Linked DNA regions of Oryctolagus cuniculus. The protein of the gene in region 3 interacts with the protein of the main gene of each other region in a biochemical or structural test. Links are inferred from orthologs where the notes say so. Each region holds a gene or a part of one and is shown on either strand. Other genes may lie near its edges.

Region 1 (8,074 bases), on a different chromosome or scaffold from region 3:
CTCAACGGTATATAAAGAAGAAATAGATGAAAGAAAAAGAATAGAAATCAGACATTTTTAAACTGAGATATCACTCTCTCCTCTTCAGGGAACAACTGTTCTGTTACAGTCGCCCCTTGATTCTATCTGTTAAGAAGTGTATCCTCTTGACCCACTGAGTAAAGGCTTTGCTGAGGTGAGAAGGCTGAAGACCATATTCTATTTTCTCTCCCATTGGTGTCTAACAAAAGCTTGCCTATGCTTGGCTGCAGTTCACAATTAATACTTCTGTAGAGGCCAGCGCTGTGGCTCACTAGGCTAATTCTCCGCCTGCGGCACTGGCACCCCAGGTTCTAGTACCAGTTGGGGTGCCAGATTCTGTCCCGGTTGCTCCTTTTCCAGTCCAGCTCTCTGCTGTGGCCCGGGGAAGGCAGTGGAGGATGGCCCAAGTGCTTGGGCCCTGCACCTGCATGGGAGACCAGGAAGCACCTGGCTCCTGGTTTCGGATCAGCGCAGCACGCTGGCCATAGTGGCCATCTAGAGGGTGAACCAACAGAAGGAAGACCTTTCTCTCTTTTCTCTCTGTCTCTCTCTGTCTAACTCTGCCTGTCAAAAAAAAAAAAAAAAAACAAAAAAAAAACAAAAAAAAAACTTCTGTAGAGCAATTTCTCACTTCAATAATCTTAGGATTCAAAGCTCTTCCCATTTAACAACCCATGACTTACGAGCTGATCTTGCTTTGGATTCTAGGAAGGACTTCCTCTTTGTTTTTCTCCTAACACCTATCTCAAAGAAATTGACCTACATTTGTGGGGAGCAACTCAGACTAGACTAAGTTACTGGAATTAAGACTTATTCTATGCATCTGCTCTCTCCCACAAAATGGCACTGGGAGAGGAGTAAACAACTTTTACACAGCTGCCTCCAGTTCGACCAGTAACCTGCAGGAGCTGATCCTGCTCCTGATTGGAGGAGAGCAGCGTGCTCGGCGTGTGGGTAGCAGAGTTGGGATTGGTGGAAGAGGACTATAAAGGAGGAGAGAAACAACATGCACCAGGAACATCTAAGGGGAACATCCGAATAACATCTGAGCAGCCCCCGAGAGAGCTGGCCGGCGGTGTGCCGCTCCCCCACGGAAGTGGGGAAAGTGGCAGGGGGAACCGCCCTTCCACGGAGGTGGAAGGGACAGCAGCCAACCCGGGAAGAACCAGCAGCAAACCCGGGAAGGGCCGAGCAGACAAAAGAACAGCGCAGGGTCCTGTGTCGTTCCTCCAAGAAGAGGGGGAGCAACATACATTCTTTTTTCTTCACTCTTCCAAGTGACTACACAGAACAAAGGGTAAAGGAACAAGCTTGCAAAATATAGCTAAGAGTTGGAATCCAATAATCTGCACATTTATGACTTAGTTGCCTAAAGAACCTGCGATACCCTGAGAAGTCAGTTATTAAAATGTGGACTTTCAGCGAGTCAACCAAGGTTAAAACAAGTCAATAGTTTTACATTAGAACAGGAAGCCAACAGACAAGACTGGCAGAACACCATCGAATCTGAAAGCCTGGCCAAAACAAACACTAAAGTTGATCAACAGGCAACTTAACTCTATTTTCTCTAGCAGAAATGGCACAGAACATGTAGTTACATGAAAACATTCATTTGAAAATAGGACAAAAACTCCTCCATTCCTAAGTCCTCTGAAGAATCAAAATGCTAAGAGTCAGTAAACCTTTTTATGCCACTCTTGGACTAACAGATCAACTGAGACAAATGAATGGAAGTACTAATGTTTACAAAGATCTTTAGAAATGAATACTTTCAGCAGTAAGCATAGTCATTCAATCCCTAGACATTGTCATTTCAACTAAAAGTAAAGTTCAAAGTTATTTTATTTATTACTTTTTTAAACAACAAAGATGCACTCCTTCTAACAGAAGAGAAAGACCATGGTAAACTGTCTTAGAATCAGACCTCCTGTTAGTCTGAATAGATGCTGTATTTGTCAACGTCACAGAGTCTGGTTTACCCAAGGATAAGTAGAGAATTTAAATATTCACAATGGAGGCACCAAAAGAATGAATTCTTCTGGGTCATGCAAAATCTCATCATACATAGTGCTTTGAAGACCTTTCATGTGCCAATGTACTAGTCTCCAAGTCTTCAGCATTTCTTCTTATTACAGATATTGATTTAAAATAATCAATCAATTGATTTAAAATAAATTCTCTTGATTTGTACAAGCACCTTCTCTATCCTCACTAATAAAGTCCAACCTCACTGGCCTAGAATACAGTAAGTTTTTAACTAGTCTCCTGGTTATATAATCATATACTCCACTCTAACCTATCAATTCCTCAGCTTGGCAGCTTCCTTAATCCTTGTTTCCTTTGAATCTTACATAGCAAAATGCCCTCCCTATTTCTCAGGTTCATCCAAATTCCTGCTAATCACTGAAAGCCTAACTCATCTGCCACCTCTTCTGTAAGATGTTCTCCAGCCCAACCTTTATCACCTTTCCCCCTATACTTAATTGATATCATATGAGCTAACACTAGATTTACATATTTTCTGTTTTTTCTTCATACGCCCAACAACATAGCAGTCTTTTGAAAACAAGGCCCAAGTCCTTTATTCCTTTAGCCATCTCTCAGGAGCCTATCACAGAACACATACTCGAGTTTTATTAACTTCCCTTGTTTGAAACGAAAGACACTAACCCCATCCAGCTCTGTATCGTTCAAATACGTATTTTCCAAAATTTTTGTATTTTACTACAAATTAAAATTGGAAATCGCTCCCAGTATTGGCCAAAAGTAAGCCATGGTTTTCAATGAACATAGCTATTCGCATGAAGCACTCAATCTGCCAAAAGAAGAAATATTTTAAGTTTACCTAACAAACATCCTCATCTAGGTCCAGTCATACTTCTAACCTTACTTGGGAGGAGATGCTCTCATTTACTGATTTTGAAAAAAACTTGATTTATCCACTCACCTATTACATGGGCAGACACAAAGGCCACAGCACTTGTTGAGTTCTGTTAAGGTCTTCTCTGCCTCTCTCATGTCTTTATTTATCTGGTCCATGCCTTCTTCTATGCGGTTTAGTTGTTCTAAGAATAAAGTGTTGAAGGTACATTTTCTGTTACAGTATCAACAAGAAAACGCCATAGTGGAATAGCAAACTTCAACTTCAAATCTACCAATACTATACCACAAAGAATAAATCTATCAGTGTCAGAAGATATTACAAAATGTTCAACATGAAGACACTCTTACACCCATACTGACAATGGCTTATAATTGTGGAAGGATCTATTCTAAAGAAATCTGTACACCAGGAGCATGTGAAGATTTAGCACCCTCCCAATGCAAGCAAGTGTACTCTGACCACATCAGATCCCCAGCATTCCTATCACTTATTATGCTTGAAACTTGAGGTGACCACAAGACTAATCAAAAACAGATGAGATTTCTCAAGGCCAACTCAAATCAAATGTTCCCAAGTTAATCTGAATCTAAATCGGTTTTAGGACTTAACTTTGATTTCTAGGGTGAAGTAAGAATGCATAGAGGCCTGATGCACACAATAAGCCATGCTGGCCTAACACATACTTGGTATATAGTTGGTCACTGCCCCCTGTGCTAACCAGGCAATAAACATGATGTCATTCAAATCAGAAGTAAACACATCACTCATCTTACAAAGTTAAGGCATTCCCAAAGGAAAATCTATACAGGGCTGATTTGATAGAACATTTTGGCATTGTAAATCAATTTAAGAATTTCTGTCAGTAACTTTAACTCACCCCCTTGTTCATCCAGCATAGTGATGGTCTTGATTCCTGCATCCTGAGACTAAAACAAAGAGGGAAAATACCAATAGTAAAAAATAAATTAATTAATTAAATACCCTAAACCAACAGAAATAAGACCTTAAAAGGGCTGACAAATAGCAAGACTAGAATCATTTGGAAATTCATCCTCAGAGGATCGAAGCTACAGATAGAACTAGCATTCTTTTTTTTTTGACAGGCAGAGTGGACAGTGAGAGAGAGAGAGAGACAGAGAGAAAGGTCTTCCTTTTGCCATTGGTTCACCCTCCAATGGCCGCCACGGCCGGCGCACCGCGCTGATCCAAAGGCAGGAGCCAGGTGCTTCTCCTGGTCTCCCATGGGGTGCAGGGCCCAAGCACTTGGGCCACCCTCCACTGCACTCCCAGGCCACAGCAGAGAGCTGGCCTGGAAGAGGGGCAACCAGGACAGAATCCGGCGCCTTGACCGGGACTAGAACCCGCTGTGCCAGCGCCGCAAGGCGGAGGATTAGCCTACTGAGCCGCGGTGCCGGCCAGAACTAGCATTCTTAAATCAACACACTTCAACATAATATCCAAAAATAATTAAGTCAAAAACTTAAAATTAATTCATCTTTCCAAGCATATTCCAATACCATCACAAAGGGAAAAGCAGAAAAGGCCAGTTAGCACATGGTTTGACAATTTCAGTAATTGCAGGTTTCAAATAATAAAGTATATTGATAGAATGTGCTTTAGCAGCAACTCCAGCTAGTGCTATCAGGATCCCTCCTATAAACTTCTGTATTTAACTTGATGATTAAACACTTTCTTACCTCAATGGCTAAACCCAGGATTCTCCTTGTACTTTCCAGAGACTAGGAAAAAAATACAGTTTTAGTTTAAACATTTCAAAATATGTAGCCAAAAAAAAAAAAAAAAAAAAACACAGACTATATTCAGAACGTTATTCTGTTTAAAAATCACTAGCCCATCCCTCCCTTTAAAACAAAATCAAGAAAACTGGTCACTGTATTTTCAGTTATTCTTATCAAGTCCTTCTTAAAAGAAAATTAGGATGGTACACTTAAAGGGGTTCATAAAAATTTGATGAAGACAGAACTCTAAGAATATTACACAGATAGTAGGAAATAAATAAAAAATCCAGAATTCTTCAAATTTAGAGTATCTTTGTTGTGAGTAACTGTTAAGCAATGACTATCTGGAAAAACCATGCGAATTATCTTCCCTTACTTAGTGTTTCTGGTGAGTTGATGAAAAGCAATGAGCAATGAATGCCACTGAGGGGCAAATTCATTCTTTGACACAAAGGGACTAGGAAGACCCTGCGCCGTGAAAACTGCAACAGGATTACTTATTCTCAATAAAGCATTTACCTCATCAGTAACCTGGTGAGCCCTCAGCTGAATTTCTTCTGATGTCAGATTATCCATGATGAATCAAAACTTTATCAGGCAAAGAAATGGAAATGTGGGTATCCTACAAGAACAAGGAAACAAAGCTTTGAGCAAAACAAAGAGGGTAGACTTATGGAATTTAGGTATTTCTTATGAAGACAAGATAAAACCCACTTTTATTTATCTATCCCACAGATAGCTGAAAAAGACTAATTGGATATTTAATGCTAGTTAGTACCAAAGATGCACATAAAACAGGTTTTAGGACTTCTACTGAAGTGTGTGTTTTTTTGTTTTTTTTTTTTGTTTTTTTTTTTTAGATTTATTTATTTTATTTGAAAGAGTTACAGAGTGAGAGGGGGAGAGACAGAGATCTTCCATCTGCTGGTTTACTCCCCAAATGGCCACAATGGCTGGGATTGGGCCAATCCAAAGCCAGGAGCCAGGAGCTTCTTCCAGGTCTCCCACATTGGTGCAGGAGCCCAAGAACATGGGGCATCCTTCCATGATTTCCCAGGCACTTTAGCAAGGAGCTGGATGGGAAGTGGGGCAACTGAGACTTGAATGGATGCCTATATGGATTCCAGCGTGTCAGGGGCAGCTTTACCTGCTACGCCACAACACCGGCCCTGAAGTGCTCTTTAAAACGGGAAGGTGGTCACCCTACTTTAAGAAGAAAGGCACTGCTGCAAGACAAGCACTTTAAGAGACTACTGAAATTAATTCTTGGTTGTACAACGTTCTTCTGGAAAAGCAGTAAGGTAATAGAGTCTAGTTAAGGAAAATAACAAATTAAAAGTCATGTGCCTAATAAACACAGGAAACATTTTAGAAATATGCCAGTTGTCCAGGTTACACATTAGAGAAAGTGAAATACTTTTATTCTAAACAAGAAAAGGGTAATGCTGGTACAGAGTTCAGAAAAGAGCTCAAGTTTTCATTAAAGCACTCTTCTCCTCCACCTGCTTGTATTGTTCATAGTGTTAGTAACATCCTAAGAAACTGAAGAACTAGCCTTTCTATATCCCACCTTTGAAAGAGAGGCCTTACAGACACTGAAGCTAAAATACACAATATCTAGTAGGTGCGATCCAGTATCATTCTTGTGTATTCTCCTTTGAGAAGTCACATAAATAAACACTATGCAACAGATCTAGCTTTTCTTCCCAATACACAGATTAGATTTGCATTACATTTTTTTTAAAAAAAATCTATTCATTTATTTGAAAGATAGAGTCACAGAGAGACAGAGGCAGAGAGAGAGAGAGAGTTCTTGCATCTGCTGGTTCACTCCCCAAACAGCCATAACAGCTGAAGCTGGGCGGATACAAAGCCAGGAGCCTGGAGCTTCTTTCAGGTCTCCCATGTGGGTGTAGGGGCCCAAGGACTTGGGCCATCTTATGCTGATTTCCCACATGCATTAGCAGGGAGTTAGATTGGAAGTAGAGCAGCCAGGACTTGAACTGGCCCCTATATGGGATGCCGGCGCTGCAGGCTGTGGCTTTACCCGCTACACCACAGTGCCAGCTCCTATACTTTTTTTTTTTTCAGAATGTTTATTATTTATTTTTGTCTTTTTTAAAGAGTGACAGAGAGAGATCTTGAAAACTGATTTATCAAAGCCCTTTTGTCAATGATACAGATAAAGTCTGGTTCACATTGTAGATTTGTTCTCTAGAATTTGGCAATAAATATATAGAGACATTTAAAATTATTTCTTTATTTGATAGGGAGCGGGGAAGTTAAGGAGTGAGGAAGAGAGAGACCTCCTCCTGCTGGTTCCCTCTCCAAATGCCCACAAAGGCTGGGACTGGACCAGGACAAAGCTGGGAACTAGGAACCCAATCCAGGTCTCCTGTGTGGGTGGCAGAGAACCAACTATTGGAGCTATCACTTACTGCCTCCTGGGATACACATTAGTAGGAATCTGGGAGTAGGGAGCAACGCTGAGACTCCAGTATGGGATGCGGGAGCCCTAAGCAGTATCCAGTGGGTAGACCAGGGAAGTTGCTAAACATCCTATGAAATTCCTTGGGAAAGCCCTCCAACAAATGGTCTGGCCTAAAATTTCAAAGTGTTATGATAAAAAAACCCTGCTATGAAGCATACTCAGTGATAAGCAGGCAATCTAATTACCTGGGCATGTATTAGACTGAACTTGGAAGGCAGCAGTTTCATCTTTGAATTTCTTGATCCTTTTTTTCTTAAGATGCATCTATCTATCTATCTATCTATCTATCTATCTATCTATCTATCTATCTATTTGAAAGCCAGAGCTATAGAGAGAGAGGGAGAGAAAGAGAGAGGTCTTCCATCTGCTGGTTCACTCCCCAAATGGCTGCAACGGCCAGGGCTGGGCCGGGCCAAAGCCAGGAGAAAGGAGCTTCATTCGGGTCTCCCACGTGGATGGCAGCAGCCCAAACACTTGGGTCATCTGCTGCTGCTTTGCCACACCCATTAGCAGAGAGCAAGACCAGAAGTGGAACAGCCAGGACGTAAACCAGCACTCATACGGGATGCCAACATTGCCGGCAGCGGCTTAACCTGCTATAACACAATGCCAACCCTTCATCTTTTTATTTTTAACACCTAACAAGATCTGACAGTAGGCACTCCAAAAGTGTCCGTTGAACGAACAAGTAGGTGGAAAAAGAGGGTGTACTACCAATTTAAGTGGCTCCTAGAAACAAAGCTACATGTAACAACAGCACCACATCTGGAAATATCTACTAGAATCACAAACTCAAAACTGCCATTGCATGTGTATGATCCGCAACAGTGTGCTGGTCACTTATAGATCTTCTCACTTTTAGTAGAATCATCTCAAGTGAGGTACACGTTCCTGGTACAGGAAGGTACTGCAATTAGAGCTACTTATAATTTGACTGTC
Region 2 (8,227 bases), on a different chromosome or scaffold from region 3:
GACATGTCTTTTTTCAGTGTTTTGATGAAGAACAAATGAGGTTACACTCTTGATACTTCACAGCCACAGTGAAATAGCAATAAATCCTAGTCTGCAACTGCTACTTCTTCCTTTCCAGGAAGTCATCGACTACTTTGGTTTAGCAGTTCCATCGGTACTTGTAATCTTGAATTTCCGCTGGCAAGAGTAGTAAACACTAGGTTACAATGGAAATAGGTATAGTCCAGATTTCAAATAGCCCTTGGAGGGTAATCAGCAAGCATCAGCAAGGTTGCTATATAAAGAAATTTGACTCGCTGCCCACCTCCCTCACTCCAGATTTTCTGAATTTTCTCACATCACCCCCCCCATTCTTAGTCAATTGTTTTGCTGCCTGAGACATGCTCAGAAGATCTGATGTCTTTTTTCATCCAACCAGTGTATTTGAGAATGCAGAATACTCAGAGAGTACAAGAGAGTGTTCTGCATCACATTGATCAGGTAAGTATACCTTCTGTGACTTCTCATCACCAGATTCCTGACCTGTTTTCAATCTCAGGTACTCATCTTGAATAATTTGTTCTAGTTAGTGGTGGAAAGTTGAAACTTACAATTAACTCTGGGCAGGCCTTACATGTTCATCTGCGTATGTGCATCTTGAAGAGTGAGCTTAAAAGATTCTTCAGTGATGAGTGATATTTTTTAAATTAGTGATCTCTCACAACATTATTTTTCTCCTCTCAATTTCTGAAAGAACATAAATTAAATCCACTGTGTCAACAGCAATTTCTGGATATTAAAGAAGACCTGGCTACTTTGTTATATCAGTTTCTGCTCAGAAATCAATTTTAGAAGATAAAGTACCAAATTCTCAGTTTTGCATTTAAAGCCTTCCACAGAAGGCTCCAATTCTGGTATAGCAACCCCTTTGCCCCCCAAACTATACATGCAAGTTTACGATTCCACTCAGATGGATGGGCTCTTTCAGGGTTTGCTGACCATAGCATGGAACTTGCCCAACTTGCAGTTCTGCTTATGCTGTAACTTCTACTTAGCAGACTTCTTCAGCCTCTCTCCAATCTTCAAAAGAAGCTCAAGTTCGACCTGTTCTCTCAGATCAGATCTGCAACACTGCTGTCCTCTGAATTTACATTCCTTCGTGTTAGTCACATTCACTGGACATTTACTAATATGTCCCCTCACATATTTTCTTCCACCATTTTATTGCATTTTAGTTCTAGTAATGTTTACTGACTTTAAACTTTTTTAAAGGTTGCTAGATGTTAAACTCATTGAGGTCAAAGGCCATATAACTATGAGGCCTGATATCCCCTCCATGGGAGTTCATTTATGTATCTGGTGTTGACTGATTGATTGGTATCTTCTTATCAGGTTAGTCGCTGCCGACAAGGGATGACATTGCAGAAACAAATCCAGCGCTGAAGCTGAAAACATGGATTTTCCTAGCTTGGTAGAATTGCAAAACAGTTCCATAACACAAGAAACATTGTTTATTCAGAGTGCATCATCTAAAAATCAGTTTCATTTATTTTTCTTCTTTCTAGTCTCCTCTCTCAATATCTTTCTTGAATTATTTCTCCCATTTAATGCTCAAGACCTACAGGTTCTGCTGAAGGCCTGCTGTTACGCAGCTTCCAGGTGGGACTGGAACAAACATCAATCTTCCAGTTGATAACCCTGACACTGAGGGCTATCATTTAGAGCTCAGGAATATCTTTAGACAAGCTAACTAAGGGACAGTTTATGTTGTGTTTGCATATGTGTGATTGTGCATGTCTAACAGAGTGAAAATAAAAGGTTTCATTTTTCAGAGATTTTACCATAGAACAGCTCAGAAGACTGTAAGTTGTTTTGTTATCTGAATGCCAAAATAGTAACAGAAAATTCCAGGTACCATCAGAGGGGCTGCATGAATGATACCTGGTTCATCCTTTTGTCTATCTGCTCATACCTCTTCTCACTGCACTGCCCTGGATTTTTAAAATTCTTAAAATAACACATCTTAGATTCCTTTTTATGAAGTGTGTCAACAATGTACATGTTAAATTCATGAATCAGTGATGTTTTTCTTTAATTTGTCAGTAAGCTCGTTCAGAATTAGCCCTATCATCCCGCATTTTGCTTCTCCCTCCCAGTCCTGTGCCCTTCGCAGCTTCACTGCAGTCCTCTACCTCTTCCTCCTATCCCCAGTCTTCCACTAGCAAACAAACTCAGCAGTAATTACCAATGTCCAAGCACGTAATTCCAGCTGCATTAGGCTTTTCTTTTGACGCAACTACGCAGAGAGCTGTCTGGATATGCAGCATGAAGATAAAAACATTTTTAATGATTCCTGTCCATAACTCCCTTCCTCCCATAACTGAAACAAGTTGTTTATTTTGCCTGAAGATTTTAGAGTTATAAACTTCTTTCATGCAGGTATAGACTGATGAATAAATGTCCACCCAAATAATTTTTACATCCATACAGAACAAATATATATATATTATATACAATACACACACACACATATATATAAATGCATGGTTAACCATAAAAAGGAAAAACACTATGTAATAAATAGATAGCTTGAGATGGAAAAACCTTCTGTATGTGAACAAGATGTTTTAGAATCTTTAGTATACAGATGATTGGAGTTATGCCTAATTAAACACAATCCAAGATCTTATTTTGAGTCTTTTAAAGGGATCATGGTAGCATTTTTTAATATGCTGTACATATTCTTACATATGACAGTTATTCTTTTTGCCAGCTACTTAAATAGTACAGTTTTGATCCCAGCCATTTCATGACAATTTGATCTGTCTAAATCAAAGAGAAATATTGCTGTGATGATTTTTGCTCACTCAGAGGCTCCAAACCTCAGAGTAGAAAATGGCCAAAGTATTTATCATCACCTCAGCAAAATCCTGCAGTGCTATAATAGAAATTGCAGTAGATCTTTAGGTTGGAACCCGGTTTCATTCTAACACCCTGGATCTCTCATCTGCCGTGTCCTGAAGGACACAGTTGGATTGTCCTGTGGTAGACCAGTCTTAATGTTATCAAAACAAAAAAGAAACTACTGACCATTAATAACCAACAACTACAGGAAATACTTCTACTAACTCTGAATTCACAGCAAGAGATGTTAAATAATACACACTATAGGACTGTAATAGTCCTCGAAGATGTATTTTTGTGAATGTGTGCTCGTGGTAATGTTGATTCTTATTAATTCAGTTAATCCTAAATGTTCATAAAATATAAATATTTAGAAAGATATCACTTCTATAAACAGTTTTGCCATCTTCATATATACCCCACTCATGCCCACCCAAGATCTGTAGATTGATTTACTCTGTTAAAAACAAAAACAAACAAAAATGTATATATCTTGCTAGAGACTTAACACATATTATTTTTAAAAGTGTTTATTTCCTACCGAAGAGGGGCAGAGGGCAACACAGAGGGTTTCCACCAGCAGACTTTTTTTTTTTTTTTTGATGGTATGCAGGAGGTGAACAGGAGAGCAGGCAATTGTCTTAAGTCTTTGTGGACAGGATTTATTTTTTCTTCCCTTTTCTCTTTGAACCTACTATGCCTGCTCTATTAATGGTCCCTGTAAGATCAGGGTCTCAGAGAGACGATTTGACCTCCAACCCTGGCACATCCAGTCCCCGCCAGGCGTCTGCCGCAGGTAGATGCCGCTCTGCGGCCGGACTGCTGTCTGTGGTGCTGAAAGGTCGCCGGCGCCAGCACGGGCCCCCGGTACTGCTCTCCAGGGTGCTGAGCACCGGCCGCCGCAGTCCCCGGGGCGAGCCCACCGCGCCAGCCCTCCGCAGAGCCCTCCCACTCGGCACGACCCGCCCGCCTCCCGCCAGCCTGCAGTTGACGTGGAGCAGGCGGCATAAATCAAGTCCGCGGGGCATGGAGGCTGCTGCCGCTGCCACAGCTCCGCTTGCCCGGGGCGAGAACTCGTTCTTTCTCCTTTGGCCTCCCCAGCGCCCCACACCTTGCCTCCTCCTTAATTCTTCCCAAGAGAATTAGAACAACATGATGGCTTTTTGTTTTGATTCGTTTTTTTTTTTTTTTTTTTTTTTTGGTCCACAGAAAGAAAAACAAACCCCTACTCCCTACCCCCTAGCCTGCTAAACATCTCCGAAAACTGCATCGCAAAATGGAAGAGACAGAGTCCCACGACTGTTGCAGAGGAGTAACTTATTCGGTATGTATCCTTGTTCTTCCTCCTCATCGCTCCACCTGCACTATCTCCATTCATCCCTTCCCCAAGCAGCTCACCTCGAAAATACTTTATAAAGCCCCAGAAGGGAGTCTAGCCAGACGTGCATACCCGGAATACCGCACCCTAAGTGTACAAACACTTGCATTTGCCCAAGCTCACTTGCTCTGCCCAGCTGTGGGGTCCCTTTGGGGTACACAGACATCTAGAGCCAGAACCTCGAGCTGGGGAGGGTCCCCTTACCTTGGCTTCTCCAGAGGGTGGTGTTCGCCGGGGCCCCTGCAGGTTGCAAGCGTGGAGGAGCCGCCAAGCAGGGAGGGAAGGAAAGACAGCGCCTGACCTCGGCGAGGTTTCGTCTTCAATGCAACGTGAGCTCTGCCCTCATCAAAGATGGCCGTCCCTTTGACGTCAGCAGCTTTTAATAGCCGGCTCGGGAGGGGCGGGGAGGAAGTATTCTGGCGAGGGGCGGGGTGAGTGGGGGGAATGGAGAGCAGGGAGGGTCGAATGAGGGAGGGGGCGCGTGGTGGCCGGGGAGGAGCGAGGGGGGCGGAGGCGCGTGAAGGGAGGGGACGAGTCTCGAGGTGCCCAGAGCTTGACTCAGCTCCGTGTGCGCTTCACTACAAATCTTTGCATTTTAGCGTTCTATAAACACCCGAACAGAGAGGTTTTAGGACTCCATTTTAACACCCGGTCTTGGGCAAACACATTTACCTTGCCACTGGCTCCCTGATGTCCTTTGTTGTGTGTGCCTATGAATGTTAATATACGTACATCTATAGATCACATATACATAATTTACTCCAGCTGAATTGAGTCACACGCGAAGAGAGGAAGGCAGAGGCGGTGGTGGGAACGGTGAGGGAGGGGGAAATTTCAGCTACGGTTTGTGCCCCTAACCACCAGAAAAGGGTCCGAAGGGACATCCCTGTCAACCCTCCCCAGCTCCATATATGGCTAGGCTACGTGGGTTGCTATTTTTTATGAGTGATTTCTTCATTTTATCCGAGCTGCAACGAGGGCTAGGAGTTTGCATTCATGTGGTCAGTTGGGAAGAGAGACTCACACACTTTATTTTAAAGTACGTCAGAGCTATTACCACGGAGAGTATCCGCTGAGTCCGGAAGGGTCGTTAACCAAACCAGCAGGGGGTTGCTAGGACTCCAGGCTAGGAGTTGAGAGCTGTTGGCCAGGGTAACATTGATGACGCTGTTTTCAGCGGAATTTGCAGTCTGAGCCTGGGGTTTTGCGTTGGGTATTTTAGGAAAAGTCCGCACAGGCACGTAGGCGCCTCCTAGATCGGTCCAGACATCCAGGGAGAAGGTGGCGGGTTTGCGTTCAAGCATGGTTAGGACGCGATAAAACGCTGGTGCTTCGCTCAGTGAGCAAAGCCTGGGCACCACGACAGGCTGGCTCGGGGCTCTCTGATGTTCAAATCAGGGCAAGAGTGAGGAAGGTGTCTTGTGCAAGTCATATGAGAAATTAGAAATAATAATAAAAAAGCAATAATCCTAGCTACCCCCACCCCACCCTGTTGTCGTGCAGGAGGCGCCCAGGGAGGCAGTGGTGGCGGTGATGGGGGTGGCGTGCAAATAGCTCTGCCTTGGAGCCTCTCGGATGATTCACAGGTGTTGGGGAGGCTGTCGCGGGGCTCTCTGCGGGGAGGGCAGGCTGCTGGGCGCGTAGGAGGTGGGGGACCTCGTCTGAGGAACTGTTTGTACTTTTCTGGGGAGGATGCAATTAGAAGTCGTGCCTCGCAGTGTTAAAACTTGATGGCCTCTTTTGGGCTATGGAAGATCCTTGTCTCCTTCAGACGTAGAGAAAACCATTTAGAACTGGCTCCGGAAAAACAATATACAGACAAGTACGGACACACACACACGCACCCACACACGCACCTTGCTGGCTGAGGGCCAAGCTTCAGCAATAATAAGCCTTTTAATTGCATGTGATTGCGGGAAGTGGTGATGGGGGAGGAAAGACCCATTGTAAAGGGACTGTGCTCAGGAGGGAAGGAGCTGCTAGAGTTTAATGCAGGTTGCCTTTAATTGAAATCAGTGGAAGTCATTGTTTCTAAAAGACTCCCTGATCCAGAGTATTTTGAAATATTAATGTTTGCAATAATAATAGCGTCTGGATTTTTATTAAAGCTGGATTCCTAAAATAATAGTGCTTGGATTTTTATTAAAGCTGGATTCCTAAAATAAAGCATGTGGCTGAAATTTGTTTACTTAAATATTTATTAAACATTCAAGGTTCCTGTAAAGAAAAAAAGCTGCGTGGTCCTCAGATACTTACTTGCCAATAAATCTCTCCCAATTATGGTTCATATTTTCATTATAAAAAGCAAGTTGGAATAGAGTGGGGAAAGCAGTGAGAATGTAGTGGTCTTGAAAAATCCTTCAGAGTCAAAATTTTTTCCAAAATGTGACGTTTTGGAAAAAAAAAAGGGCAGCATGCAGAAGTTTGTAGAAAAATAAACAAGAAGGCCCGCAGTGGGGAGAAACAAAATGTATGTAGGGCTCTCTGATGAGAAATCATTCAGGCAGAAAGTTTGTGAAAGAATGGAGGAGGCGGGGGATTTTCCAGATTAAAAAAAAAAAAAAAAGTAAGTACGTCAGTGAGGAAGCTCATCCTGCAGGCAAAAGCTGTGTGGCAGCCACAGGGGAGGACTGGCTTTGTAGCCGGGGTTTTCAGCTGCTGATGCCTCACACCAACATCTCTAAAAACTGCAGATGAGAGGAGAGAGTCAAACTGATTCACTGGGCTTACAAGGTTAGCTGACAGCATTTCCATTGCCATGTGCTTGCTTTGAAGACAGTGCTGCTTAAAAGGTTCTTCATTTTGCTTTGGGGGAAAAAAGGTTAACAGTCTAATCTGACAGATAGAAGTCTAGTCAGGTTGACCAGATGGCCCTAATGTATTTTGAATATGATAATGAGATGTTTCCTCTAGTGTTTTCTCATTCTTTGATTAAAACAAAAGAAAAACAAATAAACAGATGAATAAAAAATAAAATCCATAGTCATCCTTGCCAGTAGGGAACCAGATTTATGTCAGTCAGGGTTCACGAAGGGAAGGCTTGAACCCTACACTAAGGAAGATAAAGGAAACTTTGTTCCCAAATGAATCAGCTGTTTGTGGGTTATTTCTACAAGAACCAGCATATTGGGTAACTAACGCTTAGGAATTCATTTGATGAGCAATGAGAAAATTACCTGCTCTGTTGGATAGATATTTACACTGTGCTAATTCAATCTCTGAAAGCTTATTTTCTGGTACACCATGCCCTAAAGTATTCTGGTTTGTAATAGCTCCAGGTTCAAGATATTTAGCTTATATTTCTGACGGAAGGCACAACACTCATGGTTGACTCAATAATTATAATTTAATAATGAATAATAAGAGTTTTTATAAAGTACCATATGACTTTTATAAAGTCAACTTGGAAGTTGTTTAGAACTAGCCTCACTCAGAAGCCTGCAGGGACAGGCCTAGAATCTTGTGACAATGTTTGAAAACTTTGTGAGGGCACGAGGCTTGGGCACAGGAATATATCATTAGACACATCAACTGTCTGCCTTCCTTGGTCTGTTTTCCAAATTGTTTATTTGCTTCTTTCTCTTGATATATTCTTCCACCCTTACCCCAGACCCACCCCATTTACCCCATGGTGAATTAGTAGAACTTATTAAGCTCTAGGTCTAAACTCCCCAGGCTGTAGGGAGTTTAGATGTGGCCTCTGAGGTAGGAACATAGCTTCCAAGATATAGAAAGAGAATCAGGAATATTAACTGTTTCTGGGTTGCCATGTTGAAAAAATGAGGCTGCACACTCAGAATCTTAAAAACACTTTTTCCCCCGCTAAGAACAGCATTGTGGGAAGGAAGGAGAAGAGGGTTTAGCTGCCAGATGCTGTTCCTTTATACATCATAATTGGACTTTTGTCTTAGAAGACTGCATCCTGGGACACTCTCAATATTGATACCTGCCAGTGGTCAGGTAGGA
Region 3 (7,990 bases):
CCAAACCGTCCCACCTCCTACTCTCTCTCCTATCCCATTCTTCATTAAGATTCATTTTTAATTATCTTTCTATACAGAATGTCAACTCTATACTAAGTAAAGATTTCAAGAGTTTGCACCCACATAGACACAGAAAATTTAAAGTACTGTTTGAAGACAAGTTTTACTATTAATTCTCGTAGTACAACTCATTAAGGATGGAGGTCCTACATGGGGAGCAAGTGTACAGTGACTCCTGTTATTGATTTAACAATTGACACTTTTATTTATGACGTTAGTGATCATCTGAGGCTCTTGTAATGTGCTGCCAAGGCTATGAAAGCCTCTTGAGTCCACAACTCTGACATTATTTAGACAGGGCCATAATTGAAGTGGAAGTTCTCTTCTCCCTTTAGAGAAAGGTACACCCTTCTTTGATGGCCCCTTTGAATGTTATTCTAAGAAGGGTCTGGATTCCGTTTGTGAAGAGAAGCCATTGATGGGTTTTAATCAGAATAAAGATGCATTGAGCCATAATACCAGAAAATGCATTAATAAAGTTAGTAAGCATGTGCTGAGAGCCTAGTAGTTTTTGGCCCTATGCTTTGGTGAGGAGTGGCAAAGCTACTGCCCCCACAGAGCTTACAGAAGGTACAGGAACCAGACATGGTCATGTGATTATGTGACGTGGTAAGGTATGAAGGAGAAGTCTAGGGTATCACAGAAGCACATTCAAGGAGCACTTAACTCACTCCTGGAGGGTACGGGGTGGGGAACCTATTTTTATTTAAAAATTATTTTATTTATTTGAAAGAGAGAGAGAGAGTGAGAGAGAGAGGTCTTCCATCTGCTGGTTCACTCTCCAATTGGCCGCAACGGCCGGAGCTGCCCCAATCTGAGGCCAGGAGCCAGGAGCTTCTTCTAGGTCTCCCAAGTGGGTGCAGGGGCCCAAGGACCTGGGCCATCCTCTACTGCTTTCCCAGGCTGTAACACAGAGCTGGATTGAAAGAGGAGCATCCTGGACTAGAACTGGTGCCCATATGGGATGCTGGAGCATCAGGCCAGGGCTTTAACCCACTGGGCCACAGCGTCGGCCCGGTGGGAACCTATTTTCCACCAAGGGCTATTTGGATATTTATAACAGCACTGGTGGCCCATACAAAACTATCAACTTAACAATTAGCCCGTTACAGATTTATCAAATTTCGAGTCCTACCTCTTGTTGCTTTGGCAGGGCCAGACTACATAATCTCACAGGCCTTATATGGCCCAGACGTTCCCCACTCTAGCATGTGGGTTATCTGGTTTTAGGGTGGTCTATGCCTTTTTTATGATTTTGTTGTTGTTTTCCAAAACTGTAAGTTGTAGAAAATTAATATTGATGCAAATGATTCTTGTCTAGAGAGGTGTGAATGAATTTTGTCCCATGGAAGTGCAATTGCTCTCCCACCACAAGAGTTTTGCATTTCTTAGCATATTCTTTCCAGTATTCAGCATTTCTGTTACCTGTAGCACCCTCTCCTGCTGTTTGGATTCTTCTCTGGATAGCTTTAGCTTCCTACCAGTTTCTTCATTAATTGAGGAATTAAATAAGACCTCTGATTCACATTCACTTTATATTTGTATGAGAATCATGATTTTAACCTTTGAAAATAGCGAATTTTTGACATGTGTTCAGAGTATGAACCGTCACTTGTTGGTTCCTAGAATTGAAAAGACTCCTGATTGCTATGGTCCTTTTAGACCTTCAAAGGTAAAGAGATGTTCTCAGCCCTGTTTCCCTCAGGGCGGGCAAGTACCTATCCTCACCATCAAAGATTGTGGAGGTGAACAGATCCAATAGTATTTCCGATGAACTCAGTTTTTCCATTTATGACCTGCAGGGGGCGCTGCTACAGACGCGCCACTCAGCCCGGCGCGCAGGACGTCAGAGGGGATTAGCATGCAGAAAAGCAGGGCCAGGTCCAGAAGCCAGGCCTCGGCTCTGCCGACCGTATCCTTATGGCAGCCGAAGTCAGCACGCGGCAGGGCCGCAGAAGAAGGCAAAGTCCTGTGCGAACCGCAAAACTACTCACAGCCGGTCAACCGGAGGCTGTGAAGAGCAAATTCTCCGGAGAAGTCTCTCTCGGCCCGTTACTGCGCTCCACCCCGCTGGGATCTGCACACCACAGAGGGAATGAAGGATTCGGCTTTCCAAGGCAAACACTTTTTACCTTAAACCCCGTTCCGTGGGTTACGAGTCAATCACTCCTCTCACGTAGGTTTCACAGCAAACTCCCAAGCAGGTGCTACCTCCTGAGAAAGTGCGTTTTCCCAAAGTTGCACAAAACACCTCGACAAGGACAGGCCTCTCTCTCTCTATCTCTCTCTATCTCTCTATCTCTCTCTCTCTCTACCTCCCTCCCTTCCTCCTCCCTCCCTCCTTCCCTCCAGGGTCCCGATGGCCAAAAACATCAAAGTCCTCATTCCGGCCCGCCCCCTCCCACTGCCAGCACGACCCCCTTTAGGTTCGGCCTTGCGTGCGCAGATCCGGTCTCCCGGAGCGACCTTATTCCTCCCCCTTCCCCACGCACACCTGATGCGTTTGTTTCGGGGTGTGGGGGAGAACTGTCTCCCCGCCTGGCCGTGAGTCTGCCAAGGGCACCGACGGCGAATCCCAGTAGGAAAGGTGGCCTGAGGCCGAAACGACGTCTCCGCTCGTCCTCGAGCAGACGGAGGGATCTGCCAGCGCCAGTTCCTCTACTCCTCCGACCCTTCGGGTGCCCTGGAGTTCGGGGAGGTGGAGCGAGCGCGGTCAGACGCGGGCCCTTTAAGGAGGAGCGCGGGGCGCGGCCCAGGTAAGGGGCGGGCCGGCTGCGGATGAGCGCTGCGCGCCGGCGCCCGCCCGGGAGGCGGATTTGGAGCGCGCGGCCGCCGCGGGGGCTGGAGGGGCGGTGCGGCGGAGCCTCAGTGGTGTGGGACGCACCTGCTCGCGAGCGGCCGCCGCCCGCCTCCGCCTGCGCTCCTAGCTCCCTCGCCCGGGCCCGGCCGGCCGCCACTTCCGGGCGCTCACCTGGGGCGCGCTCACCTGGGACGCGCTCCCAGCCGCGGGCACCCAGGCGGCAGGATGAAGGACCGGCTGGAGCAGCTGAAGGCCGTGAGTCCAGCCGCTCCCGGGGCCCCGGCGGGCGGGGCGGGACTGCCGGGAGCCGCCGGGAGGTGCAATGCCGGGGACAGGGGCTTCTCCTTTTCTGCCCAAATCGAGGCTGCGCGCAAGGGTTGTCCTTTAAGCCCCGCGGCATCCCGCGAGGGTGCCGCACCCTCCCCTCCCTGCGGGGTCATGTGCCCATGATTCACCGCCGGGCCGTGACTTCCCTGACCGCCTCCAGCGCTCCCATCTCCTCCCCCCACCTCCCAAGCAGAACCCGGGTTCAGGGGTGTGCGTGCGCCCTTATGCCCAGCGGGGCTTACGGGTGCTCAAGGGGTCACCTAACCACCTGCTGCCTGCTGCTGCCGGGCGCTCAGTCCAGAATCGGCCTCCTCCACCCCTCTTCCTGTTTCCCTTCTGGACTGCGTGGGGTCCAGCGCCCCCCTCTCCCCCAGGAGCAGCTGAGTTCCCAGGTGACCTCTCCAGCTGTGAGCTGGTCACGAGGTGGGGCCATTCGGTGGTCTGTTATCAAGTCCCAGCCTTGCCTTGAGATGGGAGTGGTCAGGGCAAAAGGACAGGAAGGTGGGCCGCCTCCAGCCCTGTGGCACAGAAGCGGGAACACCTTAAGCTACTTACTTTGTGGGGCCTGTGTCTGGTTATCTGTCAAGTGAGAATGATTATACCCGCTTGAGAGGTTTGTTCCAAGGATGACGTGACATAATGAGACATGATATAGACAAGTGTAAAAAGCCCGGGTTTTTGAGCCAGATATTTATTGACAGAGACAGTAAATAGTTATTGAGTGCCTTCCATGAGGCAGACCCAGTGCTAAGCCTCAGCGATCCTGGTAACACAGGCTGTACCGTAACAGAAGGTAGAATCTGGCCCTTGCCACTCACGATGTGGTCTTTCTACTCGGGAGCTTGTCAGAAGTGTAGCAAGTTAGCCCTCTTTCCCCACCCGCCGCATGTAGAACCATGGACTCAGACACCAGAACCAGCTTACTGGCTCTCCCTTACACTCCAACTCTGTTTTGTCGTCTGTAACATGGTAGTTGTGAGAACTTAAAAGTAGGAAAGCATGTAAAAGAATCCTTTGGTGCACAGCATGTAAAACTAAGTAAATGGCAAATTTTATGCTAATAGCTAAATGCTCTTTGGAAATTCTTGTTGGGGACCATTGGGATGAGGCTGTGATTCTTAGGTGATTCTTTTGTGGCTCTTCCACCTGCTCTGGGTTGTAGGGCTGCAGAGTGGCAAAGGAGCTCAGGATATGAAAGAAGCAAAGGGACAGTTGCTTATCGTGGGAGGGAACCCTCTTGCCCCACACTTGCTCTTTGTCACTGGAGCCTGGCATCATACTGGTGACCCAAAGGGCAGAATTTATTGCCCCTGTTTTATAGACAGAGATCCTGGAGCTTGCCCTGGGTAGGACGGTTGTCCCATCACAAACTGGTCAGGGCACAGCCCTCAGAGGAAGGCAAGCTCCTGACCTCTCCTCCGTGTCCTTTCCCTTCTGTTACACCGCTGGGGGAGGCAGGAAAAAAAAAAGAAGAGCATGATTTCGAAGATCTTCCTGTGTGAGCACACCCAGCAAGCACAAAAAAACTGAACCGCAGACAGAGGCTGCTTTCTTCCTTTAGTTAGGAAATGTGTTTCCAACGGAGGATACTCCAGAGCCCCTTTCAATAACCCATTGTCAACAAAGAGCAACAGTGCCTTAACTGAGCCTTCGATTCCAAGAATAAATTCAACCCGCCGAGGCACCCAAGCAAGTCCTTTCTCTCATGGCTACCGTCTGTAAAACAAAGCTAATGATACGCTTCCTCTCTTTACCTCTTGGGGACGCGGGGAAAGTGAAGACTATAGACGGTGCTGTTATTATGGGTGCATTGTTCTGGAATCACAGAGTGGTTACTGTAGCGTTTTGGAGAAGCGTGGGGGTGCAGGGTAAGGAGGACAGGGTTGCGAGTTCAAAGGCTTCTTTCTAATTGTGGTATTGCCACTTAGTAGCTGTGTTCCTTTATGCCCTCCTCTTTTGCAAAACCAGGGGTTAGGTTGATCTCAGAACCCCTTTCTGACATTGTTACTGGTTTCTATGAAGACCTTTAAGAGTTAGGTGGGTTTTTGGTGTTGATTCTACCTCCCGTACCCCTTCCCTCGCTGAAAATCCCATCCCTGCAACAAGATGTGCCATGCTCTCTCGCTGATTCCTGTTATCAGCCGATTGAGCGTGTTTGTTAACCTGCAGTAAACAGTTCTGGCGGAACAGCCTGTGCTGTCTGTTTCTCTAGAGGTCTTTTTAAACCCTGGGGGAGGGGAGGTGATGATGGATAGCTGGAGGGCCGTCTTGTGGGTGAGATTGGCTTTGCCCTGTGTAGATGTTAGAAGATGTGGGGATGACGGTGGCAATTGGGAGTCTGTAAGGAAGCACTTCTGGTTGTTGGAGCTGCCCAGGGATGGGTTAGTGTGGTTGGGGAGGCAGTGAGCCCTCCAGCACGGGAGGGAGGCTGGCAGACAGCTTGCTGAGGTGTTGAAGGCTCTAGGAATTGAGGCACCTCTCTGAGGGAGGGAAGGTGAGCTGGCTGATTTAGGGCCTCCTTCAGTCTTGAGTCTGTCTGGTTCTGTGAGATGCTTTATTTGTGAGCCTGTCCTAAGGCTTTGCAGTCCATGAAGACTGAGGCCTCAGAGTTGCACCTGTGAATTGGGTCATCATCCTTTTCCCATAGCGTCCTTGTGAGGATGAAACAAGGCAGTCCGTGAGACTCACCCACCACAGACAATGAGAGTTCTCCAAACTGCTTCGAGCAGTGTTCTCACTGAGAGGCATACCTTTCTGATCCCAAGACCTGACTCACCTTCTCCCTGGACTGTTCCCTTCACCCTCCCCTGCCACGTTCAGGGTGCTCTCCTGTTCCTCAGTGACATAGGAAAGATTTGCCCGGGAATGTGCGGCGCCTCCTTGCAGCCCATCTCAGAAGGTGGTTCTTACAGATGTCTCAGCAGCTGAACTTTGACTCTGCTGAGTCTGGATGACTTCTGGACCGGGGTCTTTTTTTTCTCTGGCTTTCTTTGCATTCTGCAAACATTTACCGAGAACCTACTGGGTGTCAGTTCCTGCTGTAGGTGCTGGGGTGTGGTGATTAACCCATCTTCCTGGCTGTCAGGAAGTTCACAATCAGGGAGACATACAAGAAATGAACATGGTGATACCATCTCTGTGATCTCAATGACCACAGGAACACCCTCTGGGAGATGGGCAGGGAGTGGGGGATTCCTAGAACAAGTAGTACCTGAACTCAGGTCTCATTTTAATTGAGTTTCTTTGGATGCATGTAGAATTTCTTAAGAAAGGCAAGCAAGATCCTAGTGTTAGAGAATAAATAGTCCTAGAAGGGGAACAAATTTGTTTCATGAGAACAGCAATTAAAAAAATCAAAGGTAGGTGACAGTGATGTGTGGAATAGAGGTCAAGGACTTTGATCCCCTGAAGACTGATCTACAGTAGACGAGAACTGACTTGGAGATAGTGGTCCCTCCAAGGCCAGTTAAAATAGCACACTAACAAAACCAACCAGCAAGCTCCAAGGGGCAGCTTTTTCCTCTCTCTGTTCTATTTTGTGTCATGTTGCTTCCTAAAGACCTGTCCTTGACCTCCTACCCTGCGGAAGTTCTGGGATCTCTGTGGGATGGGAGTCCCTCAGATGGCACTGTACTATAATCCCATCAGAAATAGGTAGCTGTGCTTCCCCCCTTTAAAGCTTAAATCATTCAAAAAACACTGATTGAGCCTCTACCGTGTGCCAGGTGCTTTGGATCATAACTAAATCTTCACATAACAACTTGCCCCTTTATTAGATCCCAGCCTTCTTTAGTAAGACTCCTTTAAGCTCAGAATTCCTTCCTTCCCCACTCTCTGTGCCTAGAAGGATTCATTCTGTGGGAGAGATGTTTTGCTGTGAGCAGACGGGAAGCAGAGCTGAGATGAGAGTAATGGGGATTGAGTGGGGATTAGAGACCCATCAGCCAGAGGCCAGAGAGAAACGCTTGGATGAGAGAAGGGGATTAATTTTATTTTTATTCCTGTGGGTGTGGGGTGGCTGGGGGACAGGCAGGAGCTAAGTGAGAGAAGCTTGTTCATGTTGTCCCCTCTTTGAGTGCTTTCTCCCTGTCTTGTCAAAATTCCTACCCCTCTTCCTGTGCTCATTCTTTATAGGTAATTACTCCCTCATTGCAGCTAGCATATTCTGCCTTCATTCCTGCAGCCTGTGTTGGCTGTAGGTTGCTTTGCAATCAACTACATTTCTTCTGTGAAGTCAGTGGGGTTGTTTGTTACCCTGGAGTGGATTTGAAGCCACCTTCCATTCTTTCATTTTAAGTTGGACTCTTTGTCTTCTGTCCTATTGTGTTGAAGTTCAGTGATTCTAATACAATGTTATTGTCACCATATCAACTACAATAACATTGTTGAGCAGTTTCTTACTATTGAACCAGACTTGTGTTAGTTGCCTCATATACTTGGTCTCTAATCCTCCCAGCAAGGTGCTGTTATATTTTATTCACATTTTACAGGGAAGGGGATTGAGAATCTCTGGTGGGATCAAGAGTTACATGTCTGTCTTACCTCATCTTACCACCCTGCACTTGATTTGGTCATCTCCCCAACTACACTGTATATTCCTTGATGCATTGGCAAATATGATATTCCTTTGGGGCCCACTGCCAGCATGCTGCATTGTAGACCTGTATTTTTGTTTTTAAAGATTTATTTATTTGAAAGGCAGATTTACTGAAAGAAGGAGAGACCGAGATCTTCTGTCCACTGGTTCACTCCCCAAATGGCCACAACAACTGGACGGGCTGGGCCAGAATGGAGCCAGGAGCT

The links.
Region 1: the proteins of STX3 (region 3) and SNAP23 form a complex in vitro, tested with the Homo sapiens proteins (3 studies listed by BioGRID). The link is inferred for Oryctolagus cuniculus from reciprocal best matches to the Homo sapiens genes STX3 and SNAP23.
Region 2: the proteins of STX3 (region 3) and SNAP25 form a complex in vitro, tested with the Homo sapiens proteins (2 studies listed by BioGRID). The link is inferred for Oryctolagus cuniculus from reciprocal best matches to the Homo sapiens genes STX3 and SNAP25.

Annotation. Positions count from the first base shown.
Region 1 is NC_091443.1:65,543,670-65,551,743, reverse strand, and holds the start of SNAP23 (synaptosomal-associated protein 23), read right to left. Parts: upstream 5,221-8,074; coding exon 5,164-5,220; intron 4,645-5,163; coding exon 4,603-4,644; intron 3,832-4,602; coding exon 3,783-3,831; intron 3,087-3,782; coding exon 2,969-3,086; intron 1-2,968. UniProt on the Homo sapiens protein: Essential component of the high affinity receptor for the general membrane fusion machinery and an important regulator of transport vesicle docking and fusion.
Region 2 is NC_091442.1:35,147,041-35,155,267, reverse strand, and holds the start of SNAP25 (synaptosomal-associated protein 25), read right to left. Parts: upstream 4,624-8,227; 5' UTR 4,466-4,623; intron 4,208-4,465; exon of another isoform or gene 3,885-4,207; intron 1-3,884.
Region 3 is NC_091432.1:12,700,740-12,708,729, reverse strand, and holds the start of STX3 (syntaxin-3), read left to right. Parts: upstream 1-2,877; 5' UTR 2,878-3,085; coding exon 3,086-3,115; intron 3,116-7,990. UniProt on the Homo sapiens protein: Potentially involved in docking of synaptic vesicles at presynaptic active zones. Apical receptor involved in membrane fusion of apical vesicles.